2 linked regions of the Anolis sagrei genome follow. The protein of the gene in region 1 purifies or fractionates together with the protein of each later gene. This does not show direct contact. Links are inferred from orthologs where the notes say so. Each region holds a gene or a part of one and is shown in the gene's direction. Other genes may lie near its edges.

Region 1 (7,548 bases):
CAATCCAAACCCCAGGTTCCCCCCAGAGATTGGCCGGATACCCTCCCGAGTCAACCAAAGTCAACCAGTCACCCTCTCAGCCCATTTCTCACTCAAAAACATACCTGAGTGGTCTGCTGGCGGCACAGGTTCACCTACAGATGTCTCCTGATGCACGAAAATGACATGTCAGGAGATGGGGGGGGGAAGTCCCCCCATTTTTATGCCACTGGCTGATCTTTGGTTAACCCAGGAGGGATTTAGTTACTCCCCCAAGGGAAAGCTCAGGGTTTGGGTTGGAGGTGGGAACAAAATCCCAGGAGGAACTAGGTTAAAATAAGATGTCTCCCAGTTCCTCCTGGAATTGAAGGCACTGTAGAAGGGCCCTTAGACTCTATCTAAACTGCCATATGATGAAGTTAAACTGGCAATCCCCAAGTTACAAACATTCAACTTACAAACAACTCATAGTTACAAACTGGGGTGAGACAACCAGAAGTGAAAGAAATCTACTCCTGGAAAGGGAAAATAATTTCTGGAAGAGGTAACATGGCAAAAAGGTGTCTCCGTGGAAGTTCTCATCAACTCTTGTATCCACAAGCTAAATTTTTCAAAATCCAATTATCACAGGGACAGAAAATGAGGTGAAATCTTCTGAACAGGGGCACAGACAGCAAAACAGGGGCACAGACAGCAAAATCTGACCACCTGGAGTGCTTCTGGTGTTGCCGCAAGGAGATCCTCCATTGTGCATGTGGTAGGGCTCAGGTTGCATTGCAGCAGGTGGTCAGTGGTTTGCTCTTCTCCACACTCGCATGTTGTGGATTCCACTTTGTAGCCCCATTTCTGAAGGTTGGCTCTGCATCTCGTAGTGCTAGAGCGCAGTCTGTTCAGTGCCTTCCAAGTCGCCCAGTCCTCTGTGTGCCCAGGGGGGAGTCTCTCATTTGGTATCAGCCATTGGTTGAGGTTCTGGATTTGAGCCTGCCACTTTTGGACTCTCGCTTGCTGAAGTGTTCCAGCGAGTGTCTCTGTAGATCTTAGAAAACTATTTCTTGATTTGAGTCATTGATGTGCTGGCTGATACCCAAACAAGGGATGAGCTGGAGATGTCTCTGCCTTGGTCCTTTCACTATTGGCTGCTACTTCCCGGCAGATATCAGGTGGTGCAATACCTGCTAGGCAGTGTAATTTCTCCAGTGGTGTAGGGCGCAGACACCCTGTGATAATGCGCCATGTCTCATTAAGAGCCACATCCACTGTTTTAGTGTGGTGAGATGTGTTCCACACTGGGCATGCGTACTCAGCAGCAGAGTAGCATAACGCAAGGGCAGATGTCTTCACTGTGTCTGGTTGTGATCCCCAGGTTGTGCCAGTCAGCTTTCATATGATATTGTTTCTAGCACCCACTTTTTGCTTGATGTTCAGGCAGTGCATCTTGTAGGTCCAGAGTGATTCCAAGGTATTTGGGTGCGCTGCAATGCTCCAGTGGGATTCCTTCCCAGGTAATCCTCAGAGCTCGGGATGCTTGTCTGTTCTTAAGGTGAAAAGCACATGTCTGTGTTTTAGATGGATTAGGGATCAGCTGGTTTTCCCTGTAATAGGCAGTAAGAGCACCTAGAGCTTCGAAGAGCTTCTGTTCTACCATCTCAAAGCTCCCTGCTTGAGTGGTAATGGCACGATCATCAGCATAGATGAAACTCTCTGTCCCTTCTGGCAGTGGCTGATCATTTGTGTAAATGTTGAACATGGATGGAGCAAGCACGCTCCCCTGAGGCAGGCCGTTCTTCTGTTTCCGCCATCTGCCTCTCTGGCCCTGGAACTCAACAAAGAAACTCCTGTTTTGTAGCAGGTTTCCTATGAGGCGGGTGAGATGGTAGTCCTTTGTGATATTATAATTTTTCTCAGGAGGAGGCAGTGGTTCACAGTATCATAGGCTGCTGACAAGTCGATGAAGACAGCTCCTGTGATCTGCTGCCTTTCAAAGCCATCTTCTATGTGCTGAGTCAGGTTCAGCACTTGCGATATGCACCTTTTGCCTTTCCTGAAGCCAGATTGCTGTGGGATCAGACAGGGGTCTATGTTTTCCATAATTCTATGCAAAATAAGTCTCTCCAGAACTTTGTAAAGATGGCGTAACAGGGAGATTGGTCTATAGCTTTTTGGATCATTACGGTCTTTGCCTGGTTTCAAGATGGCAATGACTCTTGCTTTCCTCCAGATTTTGGGGATCTGACAGGATGCAGTGCAGTTGTTCATCAGCTCCAGCAGCCAGTGTCTTGCTTTTGAATCAAAGTTCTTGATTTGTTCCATCCGTACATCATCCAGGCCAGCTGCTTTGCCATTTTTACATTTATTGAGAGCCATGTCCAATTCTGTAGATGTAAAGGGTTCATGGAGGTTGTTGTTCTCAATCTCTTGTTGTCTGGCTATTGGTTTCTTTCCTACTTTGGTGGCAAGGTTGGGTTTCCCATTCTTCAAGAGTTGGTGTGCTATTTGATCTGCCTTTATGTTGGCATGGGTATTAGTTTGTGAGCGGTCGTTGCTCAGTCGACCCGTCAAAGCCGACCCCTTAAAAAGATAGTGTATTGTGTGCAGGGCCGTAGCCAGAAAACAAATTCGGGGAGGGTTGACAATTTTGGGGGGGGGGGTTGAAAATTTGGGGGGGGGTTGAAAATTTCGGGGGGGGGGGGGGTTGAAACCTGCCTCCTAGCTCACACTGAAACGAAGAGCACAGCAGGGGGCAGAGCAGCCTTCAATTGTTGTTCATTCGTTCAGTCGTCTCCGACTCTTCGTGACCTCATGGACCAGCCCACGCCAGAGCTCCCTGTCGGCCGTTACCACCCCCAGCTCCCTCAAGGTCAGTCCAGTCACTTCAAGGATGCCATCCATCCATCTTGCCCTTGGTCGGCCCCTCTTCCTTTTGTCTTCCACTTTCCCCAGCATAATTGTCTTCTCTAGACTTTCCTGTCTCCTCATGATGTGGCCAAAGTACTTCAACTTTGTCTCTAGTATCTTTCCCTCCAGTGAGCAGTCGGGCTTTATTTCCTGGAGGATGGACTGGTTGGATCTTCTCGCAGTCCAAGGCACTCTCAGAACTTTCCTCCAACACCACAGCTCAAAAGCATCGATCTTCCTTCGCTCAGCCTTCCCTAAGGTCCAGCTCTCACATCCGTAGGTTACTACAGGGAATACCATGGCTTTGACTAGGCGGATCTTTGTTGCCAGTGTGATGTCTCTACTCTTTACTATTTTATCGAGATTGGACATTGCTCTCCTCCCAAGAAGTAAGCGTCTTCTGATTTCCTGGCCACAGTCTGCATCTGCAGTAATCTTTGCACCTAGAAATACAAAGTCTGTCATGGCCTCCACGGTTTCTCCCTCTATTTTCCAGTTGTCAATCATTCTTGTTGCCATAATCTTGTTTTTTTTTTTTGACGTTTAGCTGCAACCCGGCTTTTGCGCTTTCTTCTTTCACCTTGATTAAAAGGCTCCTCAGCTCCTCCTCGCTAGCCCCTGTCAGCCACCTCCACCAAGTCTGGCCTCCTTAATGAGAGCATTCAACACCCCCCCCCCCCCAACTTGGTTGCTTCACTACATTGGCTATTGCTGCAAGTAATGACAGTGTGAATAAATTGTCAATATTTGCTTGAGATAGTGCTTACAGTTCTGGAGGGACTCTTAATTTTTTGCATCTCAGACTTAGCATGGGGATTTGGTTAACCAGTTAATATTCATGAGTAAACCAGGTTTTTTAAAAAAATCTGAAACATTTCGGGGGGGGGGGGTTGAACCCCTAAAACCACCCCCTCGCTACAGGCCTGATTGTGTGCCTTTATTTAATAGGATAAAGGCACACAATACACTATCTTTTTAACATCCATACCCGATGATGAACCCAGTGGCCTTCGAAAACGTGTGCAATGTGTTGGGGGCCTTTTATTTGGCCTAATAAAGGGACCACTTCAATATGTTATTTAGATTTTCCTGCATTTTCTTTCAAAATCATTATGTGAGAGCTTAAGAGGGAGAATGGGCTTGGAGGGGAACTATTTTGTAGGGATTTCGTCCAACAAAACTGCCCGCCTTTTGCAAAACCCTTCAAAAAGGAAGAAAGAGGAAAAGGCGCGCGAGGCCGGAGCCAACATTCTCTGGGGTCTCATCCGAAAAGCGTCTCTCACAGCCAGGGAAAAGAAGCCCTCTGCGCTTGCGCACTCCGCACATGCTGATTGAGCGAGGTCGAGCACAGCAAGAACGGACCGCTTCGTTACGCAGACCGTACCATTGTGTCGTCGAAATTGAGGGGGATGAAGAAAAGAAGTTGATAAATTTTCGCTCTTTCTTTCAAGTGTAAAGGGCTCTGCCTCAGGAACTCTCTGCAAGTTACCATGTTGCCTTCGTTTGGTACCGGAGCGCAATTCTATGCCTTCGAAAAGGCGGGGCCTGAGAGTGCGTTTCCCCGCTCCTCCCCCCCTGCGGGTGGTTCCTTCCTCGAGTGGCACGAGCCCGCGGCTGGAGGAGGCGGGGCCGGCTTTTTCTCACGCAGCTGCGTCGCCGCCTCAGCGCCAGGCATCTCTGCTGTGCCCTGCCGGCCTCGCTTGATCCGGAGGTAGCTGGGGATTCCCTCAAGAGGCGGCTTCATGGCATACAGTCAGGGAGGCGGCAAGAAGAAAGTCTGCTACTACTATGACGGTAAGAAAAGTGGGGTTTCTTTCGCGTTTGAGGGGTGTGTATGCCTTTAAGTCTGTGAGAGAGCGCCTGAGGGTGAAACCCCCCCCCCCTTTTGTGCTCCGGCGCGTCCGTTGGTTCTGTGTACTCCCCGTGCGCGCGCCCCATCCCCATCCCCTGCGCGCGCCCCCTCTTCCTCCTGTCCTCGCGCGCCTTCTTGCCCCCCCCCCTTTTTTTTCCTTCCCGGCGCACGCGCCGCCTACAGCCCCGCCCCCTCCCTCCCTCCTCGACGCCCCCTCCCCTTTTTCTGTGCCTCTCTCTCTCCCCCCCCCCCCCCTCAGACCTATTGTGTCTGTAGAGGCGTCTCTCCAGAGTCCAGACGGAAGTTGCTAACCCAGACTCTTTCATCTCATTTTTCCTCCCACCTCCACCCTCTTATCTCTTGCATCCTCTTTTCTGTTTGTGAATACTTGGCTGCTAAAAGATAGCACTGGGATGGATGCAAAGGTATCCACCTGGAATGGAGGCTATTGTCATCCCCCCCCCCCCCGGATTTTGCATTGCAGGTATCCCAGGAAGCATCGGCACTGTAGAATAAATGAAGTTTTGACACCATTGTATTTTATAATTCTACTAGCCGTCCCCTGCCATGCGTTGCTGTGGGCCAGCTTGGTGATCTGGAAAATAAAGTAATAAGGAAGTGATGGTTTCTAATATATGTATTTTCTTTATGCTTCTGGGTAAACAGTATTTCTTGTTTCTTTTTCAGTATTGATGTAGAGATTGTCTGGTTTGCCTACTCTGGAACATGTAACATAGAATTGTCCTTTAGGAGTCCCTTTAAAATCTATGAAACTATATCTGTCATATTCATATGTATGTGTGTGTGAATCATATATAACTATCTATATATGGCTCTTTGTCAGGAGGGCTTTGGTTATGTTTTTTTGCCCGGGTGAAGGGAGTTGGGCTGGATGGCCTTCACCCAGCATTTCTCAACCTGGGGGTTGGGACCCCTGTGGGGGTCATGAGGGGGCGTCAGAAGGGTCATCAGATAACATCAGGAAACACAGTATTTTCTGTTGGTCATGGGGGTTATGTGTGGAAAGTTTGGTCCAGTTCTATTGTTGGTCGGGTTCAGAATGCTCTTTGATTGTGGGTAAACTATAAATCTCAGCAACTACAACTCCCAAATGTCAAGGTCTGTTTTCTCCAAACTCCATCAGTGTTCACATGTGGGCATATTGAGTATTCATTCCAAGTTTGGTCTAAATCCTTGATTGTTTGAGTCCATAGTGCTCTCTGGGTGTAGGTAAACTATAACTCCAAAACTCAAAGTCAGTGCCCACCAAACCCTTCCAGTATTTTCTGTTATTCACGGGAGTTCTGTGTGCCAAATTTGGTTCAAGTCCATCATTGGTGAAGTTCAGAATGCTCTTTGATTGTAGGTGAACTATAAATCCCAGCAATTACAACTCCCAAATGACAAAATCATTTTTTAATATATATTTATTTTTCAACATTTTCAAGAGAGAGAAAAAGGCATCCAAGATTACAGTGAAAGTGGAGCAACAGTGTGCTCGCCTTAGAAAGAAAGGAAAGAGCAAGAAGAGAAAAAAAGGAGGAGAGGGGAGGTGATGGCTTCCTGTTCGATCCACAGGGACGTAAACAATTGTGTCCATTTACTTTTCCGCATTATAACTTAGTTACTTTTCTCTATATTAGTTGGTATATCCTTCATCCGTAGAGTTGGATTTGCATATCTTCCTGCATAAACCTTCTCAGAGGCTCCCAATTCGTCTGTTTATTCTTATTTTTATTGTCAATGTATTGTGATAAGTTGTCCATGCTCATATAGTCTAGGATTTTGTTTATCCAATCACCAATTGTAGAGGGTCTTTCTCTTTCCATTTTTGGGCAATTGTCGTTCTTGCCGCAGCTGATATATAAAAAAACATCTTTTCGTTTTCACCTAAATTCAAGTTTGTTATGTTCAAAAGATAAAATTCCGGTTTCAACTCAAATTTCACCCTAATAATTTTTTGGGTACATTTGTGTATTGCTGACCAGTAATTTTTGATTGTTTTGCACCCCCACCACAAATGGAAGTGGGTGCCTAGCTCTTTTTCGCATCTCCAGCATCTATTAATTTTTATTGAATTTTGATATTTGTAGAGGTGTCAGGTACCAGCGAAAATATATCTTGTACCATCCTTCAATTATATTTGTAGCTTTCGTGAACCTTAACTTCTTCCAGATGTTCTCCCAATCTTTTAACAATATTGGATGGCCAATGTCAATGGCCCATTTTGTCATATTTTCTTTTATTCTCTCTTTTTCCAAGTCCCATTCTAACAGGCTTTGGTAAAGAGTTTTAATTAATTTTTGATCCTTTTTCATTATCTTATCCCAACTTGATTTCTTGGTATTGAACCCTACTTTTCGATCTTCTTTGAAGCATTCTTTTGTTTGCCAATAGTGAAACCAGCTCATTTTTCTGTCATATGTAGGCATGCCATCCTCTTCTAAGGTCCCACCCCTCTAGGGTTAACATTTTTCTGTTTTGTAGGGTCACCCAGTCGTTGATCCAGGTCAGAGCACTCGCCTCAAAATAACGTTGCAAATTAGGGAGGGTGAGGGCAAAATCAATTTTTTGAGTGATGGTCACTCATTGGGTTGTTAGGTGTATTCTGTCCAAATTTAGTGTCTATCCGTCCAGTGGTTTCTGAGTTATGTTAATCCCACAAACGAACATTACATTTTTATTTATAAAGATTTAAATGTTTAATTTACCTACATTGTTTGAAGGCATCAAATAGTTGCCTAAGTGTAAGCTGCCTTGAGTCCCCCTCCAGGGTGGAGAATGGCAGGGTAGAAATGTTGTAAATAAATAAATAAAAATAA
Region 2 (7,821 bases), on another chromosome or scaffold:
AACATAGGAACGGAACAATGGACGATGAATTTGGATGACGTTTTGGATGACGAGGCGATTGGGGGGGGGGGGTTGTGATAATTGTGTATTGATGTTGTTATTGCTAGTTATGGAATTGTGTAGTTTAACTGCTATGGTATATTGATTGCTGCTGTTTTTATTGTCTTTGTGTTTACTGTCTGGAAACCGCTGTGAGTCGCCCTCAGGCTTGAGATACAGCGGTATACAAGAATAGTAAAATAAAATAAATAAAAATAAAATAAAATAAATAAAATTCCCCATAGTCACTTAATGTGAGAGCTGGACCATAGGGAAGGCTGAGCGAAGGAAGATAGATGCTTTTGAACTGTGGTGTTGGAGGAAAGTTCTGAGAGTGCCTTGGACTGCGAGGAGATCCAACCAGTCCATACTTCAGGAAATAAAGCCCAACTGCTCGTTGGAGGGAAGGATATTAGAGGCAAAGATGAAGTACTTTGGCCACATCATGAGAAGAAAGGAAAGCTTAGATAAGACAATTATGCTGGGGAAAATGGAAGGTAAAAGGAAGAGGGGCTGACCAAGGGCAAGATGGATGGATGGATGGGATCCCTGAAGTGACTGAATTGACCTTGAAGGAGCTGGGGTGGTGATGGCCAACAGGGATCTCTGGCGTGGGCTGGACCATGAGGTCACGAAGTCGGAAGCGACTGAACGAATGAACAACACACACACACACACACACACACACAGAGAGAGTTGTTGTTGCAAGCATGGACAAACTTTGACTCTCCAGTGTTTTGGACTTCAATTGTGGGAGTTGAACTCCAAAACACCCACTTTGCTGTATAGTTTGCTCCCACTTTAATTGCCATGTCTTCATGCTAGGGCACCATGGGATCTGACTGTTAGGAATTGAGGGAGCTGAAGTCCAGAACACCTAGAGGACCAAAGTTTGCCCATGCTTGATATTTATTATTGTATTCCTACCGTACTCTATCTCACCCTGGAGGGGAATCAGAGCAGCTTCCAGTTTGGTAAATACTGATAGCATTGCTAGTATTTGCTGTTAATGTGTGTTCTATACACACACACAGACAGACAGACAGACAGGCATGTAGCCGGGGGGGGGGGGGTCAGCACCCCCCCCCCCCCCGAAATTTTCATGGTGGTTCGCGAAAAGGCCTTACTGGTGCATTATTTAAACTTATGTTAAGTCATATCATGATCTGATCACCCTACTCAATATATCCCATATGCATGGGGGTATTGGGGTAATGATACAAAAGGTTTGCTAGGCTAGACGCTCTTTCACTCAGACTCAGCCCCCCCCCCCCCCCCCGAAATGAAATCCTGGCTACGGGCCTACACACACACACAAACACATATTGGGAGGCCTGTATACATGGGGGGGGGGGGGGCAATTGAAGTTTGTGTGTATCCATTTGAAGGCTGCTTCTCATCCCACTCTTCTCTCCTCTCTCTTTCTCCTCTCTCTTCTCGTCTCTTCTCTCTCATCAGTCTCTTCTCCCTCTTCTTTCTCTTTTCTCTCCCCCTCTCATTTAAAATATTACCTCCAAGGCACGTACTGTACATGTAGCTAGTTAACAGGCATGGTGGGCAAACTTGGGCCTTCCAAGTATTTTGGACTTTGTATATATCCATTCGAAGGCTGCTCCTTGTCCCAGAGTCTTCTCTCTCCTCTCCTTTCTCTTTCTTGTCTCTCTTCTTTATCCCTCCCCTCTCTAGCTGTCTCTTCTTTCTCCTGTCTCCTTCTCTCATTTAAAATGTTACCTTCAGGACATGTACTGTACATGTACCTGGTTAACAGGCATGGTGGGTAAACTTGGGCTGTTGTCAGCTGTTAGGAATTGTGGGAGTTGGAGTCTAAAACAGCTGGAGGGCCTAAGCTTGGCCATGCCTGATAGCATTGCTAGCACTTGCTGTTAATGGATGTTCTGTATATATATTGGGGGCGTGTGTGTATATATTGGGGTGGGGGATTGAAGAGTACAGTTTGTATATATCCCTCCAAAGGCTACTCCTCAACCTAGAGTTTTCTCTCCCCACTTCTTCTCTCCTCTGTCTCTTCTCTCTCTCTCCTTTCTCTCTCATCTCTCCTCCTTTTCTCTCTCCTCTTTTCTGTCTCCTTTTCTCTTTCCCCTCTCCCTCTCATCTCTTCCCCTCTCCTCTCCCTTCACTTTTTCTCCTTCCTCTTTCTTCTCTTTTTTTCCACCTCCCCTCTCTTCTCTCCCCCTATACTAGTTAACAGGCATAGTGGCAAACTTGGGCCCTCCAGGTGTTTGGGACTTCAAAAACACAATTCCCTTCTTTCCCTCTTTCCCCCCTCTCCTTTCTTTTTTCTCTCCACTCTCTCCTCCCTTGCTCTCTTTCCTCTCCTCACCTTCTCTCCTCTCTTTTGTCCTCTCTCCTCCTCCACTCTTTTCTCTCCCTCTTCTTTCCTCTTGTCTCTCCTCTTTCTCCCTCTCCTTTCTCTCCCTCTCTTGTCTCCCTCTCCTCTTTCTCTTCTCCTTTCTCTTCCTCTCCTTTTTATCTCTCCTCCCTCCTGTCTTGTCTCTCCTTTCTCTCCCTCTCTTCTCTCCTCTTTTGTCTTCCCTCCGGTCTCCCTCTCTTCTCTCTCCCTCTCTTCTTTCCCCTTTTCTCTTCCTTCTGGTCTCCCTCTCTTCTCTTTCCCTCTCCTTTCTCTCCCTCTCTTCTTTCCCCTTTTCTCTTCCCTCTGGTCTCCCTCTCTTCTCTCTCCCTCTCTTCTCTCCCCTTTTCTCTTCCCTCTGGTCTCCCTCTCTTCTCTCTCCCTCTCCTTTCTCTTCTAATTTCTCTCCCTCTCCTCTTTTTTATCTCCTCTCTCTCCCCCCTCCTCTCTTTTCTTCCTCCCCCCCTCTCTTCTTTCTCCCCTTTCTCTTGCCTCTCTCTATGCCAGTTGACAGGTACGGTGGGCAAACTTCGGCCCATCCAGGTGTTTTGGACTTCAACTCCCACAATCCCTAACCCATTTTTCTCTCCCTCTCCTCTTCTCCTTTCTCTCCCTCTCCTTTTTATCTCCTCTCCTCCCTCCTCTCTTGTCTCTCCTTTCTCCCTCTCTTCTCTCCCCTTTTCTCTTCCCTCTGGTCTCCCTCTCTTCTCTCTCCCTCTCCTTTCTCTTCTCATTTCTCTCCCTCTCCTCTTTTTTATCTCCTCTCTCTCCCCCTCCTCTCTTTTCTTCCTCTCCCCTCTCTCTTCTTTCTCCCCTTTCTCTTGCCCCTCTCTATGCCAGTTAACAGGTACGGTGGGCAAACTTGGGCCAGTCCAGGTGTTTGGGACTTCAAAAACACAATTCCCTTCTCTCCCTTTTTTCCCTCCTCTCCTCTCTTTTTTCTCTCCACTCTCTCTCTCCCCCCCCCCTTGCTCTCTTTCTTCTCCTCTCCTCCTCTCCTTCTCCACTCTTTTCTCTCCCTCTCCTCTTGTCTCTCCTCTTTCTCCCTCTCCTTTCCCTCCCTCTCTTGTCTCCCTCTCCTCTTTTTCTCCTTTTTATCTCCTCTCCTCCCTCCTGTCTTGTCTCTCCTTTCTCTCCCTCTCTTCTCTCCTCTTTTGTCTTCCCTCCGGTCTCCCTCTCTTCTCTTTCCCTCTCTTCTTTCCCCTTTTCTCTTCCTTGAATCCAGACAAGACAGAGGTCCTACTGGTCAGTCGGAAGGCCGAACAGGGTATAGGGTTACAGCCTGTGTTAGACGGGGTTACACTCCCCCTAAAAACGCAGGTTCGCAGCTTGGGAGTGATCCTGGACTCATCGCTGAGCCTGGAACCCGAACGGATCTCCCTCTACATCCCACCTCGAAGTTTAAGATCTTCTGGAGAGGCCCTGCTCTCGACCCCGCCAGTGGCACAAGTGAGGCTGGCGGGGACGAGGAGCAGGGCCTTCTCAGTGGTGGCCCCTCACCTGTGGGACTCACTCCCCGGGGAGATCAGATCGACGACTTCCCTTCTAGCGTTTAGGAAAAAACTAAAGACCTGGATGTGGGACCAAGCTTTTGGCCATGCTGACAACTAACTAAAGGACCTGTCGATAGACGAGGACAATGGAATGGAATGGATATATGGACTCTGATATATGGACTCTGACATGAGATAGTTTTTATGATTTTATTAGGTATTGATGTTTTATTTTAATTGTTGAATTGTTATATTTTGTATTGTTTGTTGTGTGATTTGGGCATCTAATTGTGCCTTTCCTGTAAGCCACCCTGAGCCCCCCCCCCCCCGGGTGAGAAGGGCGGGGTATAAGTAGATGAAATAAATAAATAAATAAATAAATTCTGGTCTCCCTTTCTTCTCTCTCCCTCTCTTCTCTCCCCTTTTCTATTCCCTCTGGTCTCCCTCTCTTCTCTTTCCCTCTCCTTTCTCTTCTCCTTTCTCTCCCTCTCTTCTCTCCTCTTTTATCTTCTGTGTCTCTTCCCCTCTCCTCCTCTCTCTCCCCCTCTCTTTTCTCCTTCTCCCCTCTCTCTCCTTTCTCCCCTTTCTCTTGCCTCTCTCTGTGCCAGTTAACAGGTACGGTGGGCAAACTTGGGCCTTTTCAGGTGTTTTGGACTCCAACTCCCACAATCCCTAACAGTTAGGAATTGTGGGAGTTGAAGTCCAAAACACCTGGAGGGCCCAAGTTTGCCTGATAGCATTGCGAATGGGTGTTCTGTCTATATACGGGGTGGGGGAAGGAAGGCTGAGTGCCTCCCTCCCTTCCAAGGCGGCTCCCCGCCCAGAGTCTTCTCTCTCTCCCTCTCTCTCTGGGCCCCTCCCTGCCTGCCTTCCCCGCCCGTCCCGAGCTCTCCTGGGCCTCGGCGCTGCCATTGGCTTAGCGGCCCCATCCGGGCACTTGGCGCATCGCTGCCGCTCAGGCCGAGCGCTCCCAATATGGCGGAGGTGAGCGGGGAGAGCGGGCGGGGGCGCGGGGGTCCGGAGGGCGCCTGGCCGGACTGGAAGGCGGGACGGCGCCCGGAGGCCCCCTCCTCGGAGCTGGGAGAGCCCTCCGGAGGCCGCGGGCCCGCCGAGGGGGCTTCCAGGGCCGGCTGGGGGCGGAGGGAGCCTCGGGCGCCGGCGGAGCGCCGCCTGGGCGACTAGGCCGCAGTTGGTGCCTGCCTGCCCGCCCGCCCAGTCCCCACCCAGAGCGATGGTCAGTCAGGAGCCCGGCTCTGGGCGTCAGCGGCGGTGGGCACGGCCGGGGTCCTGTTTGGGGGGCGAGACATATTTCTGAGGATGAGAGACTGAGAGAGAGGAGGTAGAAAGAGACGAGGAAGGAAGGACCGGTTTGGGAAAAGGATGGAGGCTCTGAAGGTGCGAGAGAGAGAGGGATGGGGACACAGAGAGAGAGAGAGAAGAGAGAGAATAGTCTCACATCTCAAGAAAGAAAGACAAAGGGAAGTTGGAAAGAGCCAAGGGAGGAGAGGAAAGGTGGAAGAAGGGTGTCTTGTCTTGTCTGTGGCTTGGAAACTTGGGAGCCCTCCTGGTGTGGCAGAGCCCCCCTTTGACTCCTTCTTCTCCTGTTGCTTGTTGCAGGCTTCCTTTGGGAGTTCCAGCCCAGGTTTGTCCTGTTCAGTTCCTTCTTCTGTGATTCCGGCAGTGGGAAGCTTTTGGGTACGGTTAAGGGCCAGGTTACAGGCGCATCTGTCAAAAGATGCCTTTCTGTGTGTTGTTTTCTTCTCGTTCACGATGACATCTTGAAATGATTTCCTCATAACCTCCTCATCCTCTCGCTGTTTCGTGCTCTGTTTTTTTCCATTCTTTTCAAGTCACCTGTTTTGTTCCTAGGGAAGTATCCTATAGAGATGTTCTGTTCACTGTAGGTCAGGCATCGGCAAACTTTGGGCCTCTCGGATGTTTTGGACTTCAACTCCCACAATTCCTCACAACAGGTAGGCTGTTAGGAATTGTGGGAGTTGAAGTCCAAAACACCCAGAGGCCCGAAGTTTGTCGATGCCTGGTGTAGATGGAAGTCACATATCAAACAGTAAATTTGGCTCACTTCTGAATAATGCTGCTGGCAATTTTGTATTTACATAGAAGTAAATTTCAGGCATGGGCCAACTTGGGCCCTCAGGGTGTTTTGGACTTCAACTCTCACCATTCCTCACAACAGGTAGGCTGTTAGGAATTGTGGGAGTTGAAGTCCAAAACACCCAGAGGCCCAGTTTGCCCTCCAGGTGTTTTGGACTTCCAACTCTCACCATTCCTAACAGCCTCAGGCCCTTTCTCCCCCCTCCCCCCAGATGCTTAAGCGGGAAGGGACTGAGGTTGTTAGGAATTGTGGGAGTTGAAGTCCAAAACACTCGGAGGCCCGAAGTTTGCCGATACCTGATGTAGATGGAATTCACATATCAGACAGTAAATTTGGCTCACTTCTGAATAAATGCTGCTGGCAAAGTCATATCTACATAGAAGTAAATTTCAGGCATGGGCCAACTTGGGTCCTCCGGGTGTTTTGGACTTCAACTCTCACCATTCCTAGCAGCCTCAGGCCCTTTCTTTTCCCCCCCAAGCCACTTAAGCGGAAAGAGCCTGAGGCTGTTAGGAATGGTGGAAGTCCAAAACACCTGGAGGGCCCAAGTTGGCCCATGCCAGAACTACATGCCAGATTGCTTTCCAACTAACTATCGCTGGAATGGGACTGTGGATGTACGTAGTATTGCAGCCATCAAGTCCGATGCTGTGCGTGTTTATTTGGAGATGGTCTTGCTGCATTGTCTGGGGTCCCTTCCACACAGCTGAATAAAATCCCACATTATATGCTTTGAACTGGAATATATGGCAGTGTGGACTCAGATAACCCAGTTCAAAGCAGATATTGTGGGATTTTCTGCCTTGATATTCTGGGTTATACAGCTGTGTGGAAGGGCTCAAAAATGCAAGTTTGATTCCAGAACTTCTGTTTCTTTTGGTTGTTGGTGTTTTCATAGAATCTGCTTTACCTAAGCAAAAAGAAACAGAAGTGGATTTTTTTATGCCAATAAAGTTAAAAGTTTATATTCCAGAATATCATGGCAGAAAATCCCACAATCTCTGGTTTGAACTGGGTTATCTGAGTCCACATTCAGATAATGTGGGATTTTCTGCCTTGATATTCTGGGATATAGGAGGAGGAGAAGGGCCCCCAGTTAAAAGCAAATATTGTCAGATTTTCTGCCTTGATATTCTCGGTTATATGGCTGTGTGAAAGCACCCTTGTCCAACTCACTTCCATACAGGAATGTACAACTAAAGCATTCCTGAAAGATGGACATCTGATCCTGGGTTTAGTTTATCTTTTATTGAAATGATAGGTAAAACCATACAAATCAGATAATTTAAAACTTTCCAAAACGTATACTTTGTTGCCCTTGGTAAAAATGACATTATTTATGAAGTGTTAACTAAATTATTTGAATGATAAGACTTTGAGTTTGATGAGAAGTAATTCTCAATAAAATGTATAGGGCTACACTGTTTGTTCAGCAAAAATTCTTAAAGGCACAGTTTTTATATGGAATGTACTTCTTCTATGACTATATATGTACATATTAAACAGGCTAAGGCAGCCCTTGGCAACCACATTTTTCAAAATAGGTAACATTCTACATTGGAAATTTTAAATTTATTCTAGTTATTCTAGTTGCAGATCTAGCTGTAAGGACTTTGAATAGTGCAGGTGTGTATGCCCACGGTTAAAGAGGAACTTTGTGGGCAGAGGAACATGATGCCCCACTATAGGTGTGGAAGAACTTTGTGGCCATAGTCCTACTGTTGGCAGTGGACTTCAGAATTGAATTTTGGGAGTATGTCAGCAAGGGCCCTTCCAAACAGTCATATAACCCAGAATATCAAGGC

The links. Proteins that work in one complex are often made in the same cells at the same time.
Region 2: the proteins of HDAC2 (region 1) and MIER3 purify together in Homo sapiens (affinity purification with mass spectrometry; 3 studies listed by BioGRID and IntAct, with this or other methods). This does not show direct contact. The link is inferred for Anolis sagrei from reciprocal best matches to the Homo sapiens genes HDAC2 and MIER3.

Annotation. Positions count from the first base shown.
Region 1 is NC_090021.1:91,450,169-91,457,716, forward strand, and holds the start of HDAC2 (histone deacetylase 2), read left to right. Parts: upstream 1-4,501; 5' UTR 4,502-4,616; coding exon 4,617-4,668; intron 4,669-7,548. UniProt on the Homo sapiens protein: Histone deacetylase that catalyzes the deacetylation of lysine residues on the N-terminal part of the core histones (H2A, H2B, H3 and H4).
Region 2 is NC_090022.1:271,878,440-271,886,260, forward strand, and holds the start of MIER3 (mesoderm induction early response protein 3), read left to right. Parts: upstream 1-4,806; 5' UTR 4,807-4,875; coding exon 4,876-4,884; intron 4,885-5,517; coding exon 5,518-5,542; exon of another isoform or gene 5,543-5,595; intron 5,596-7,821.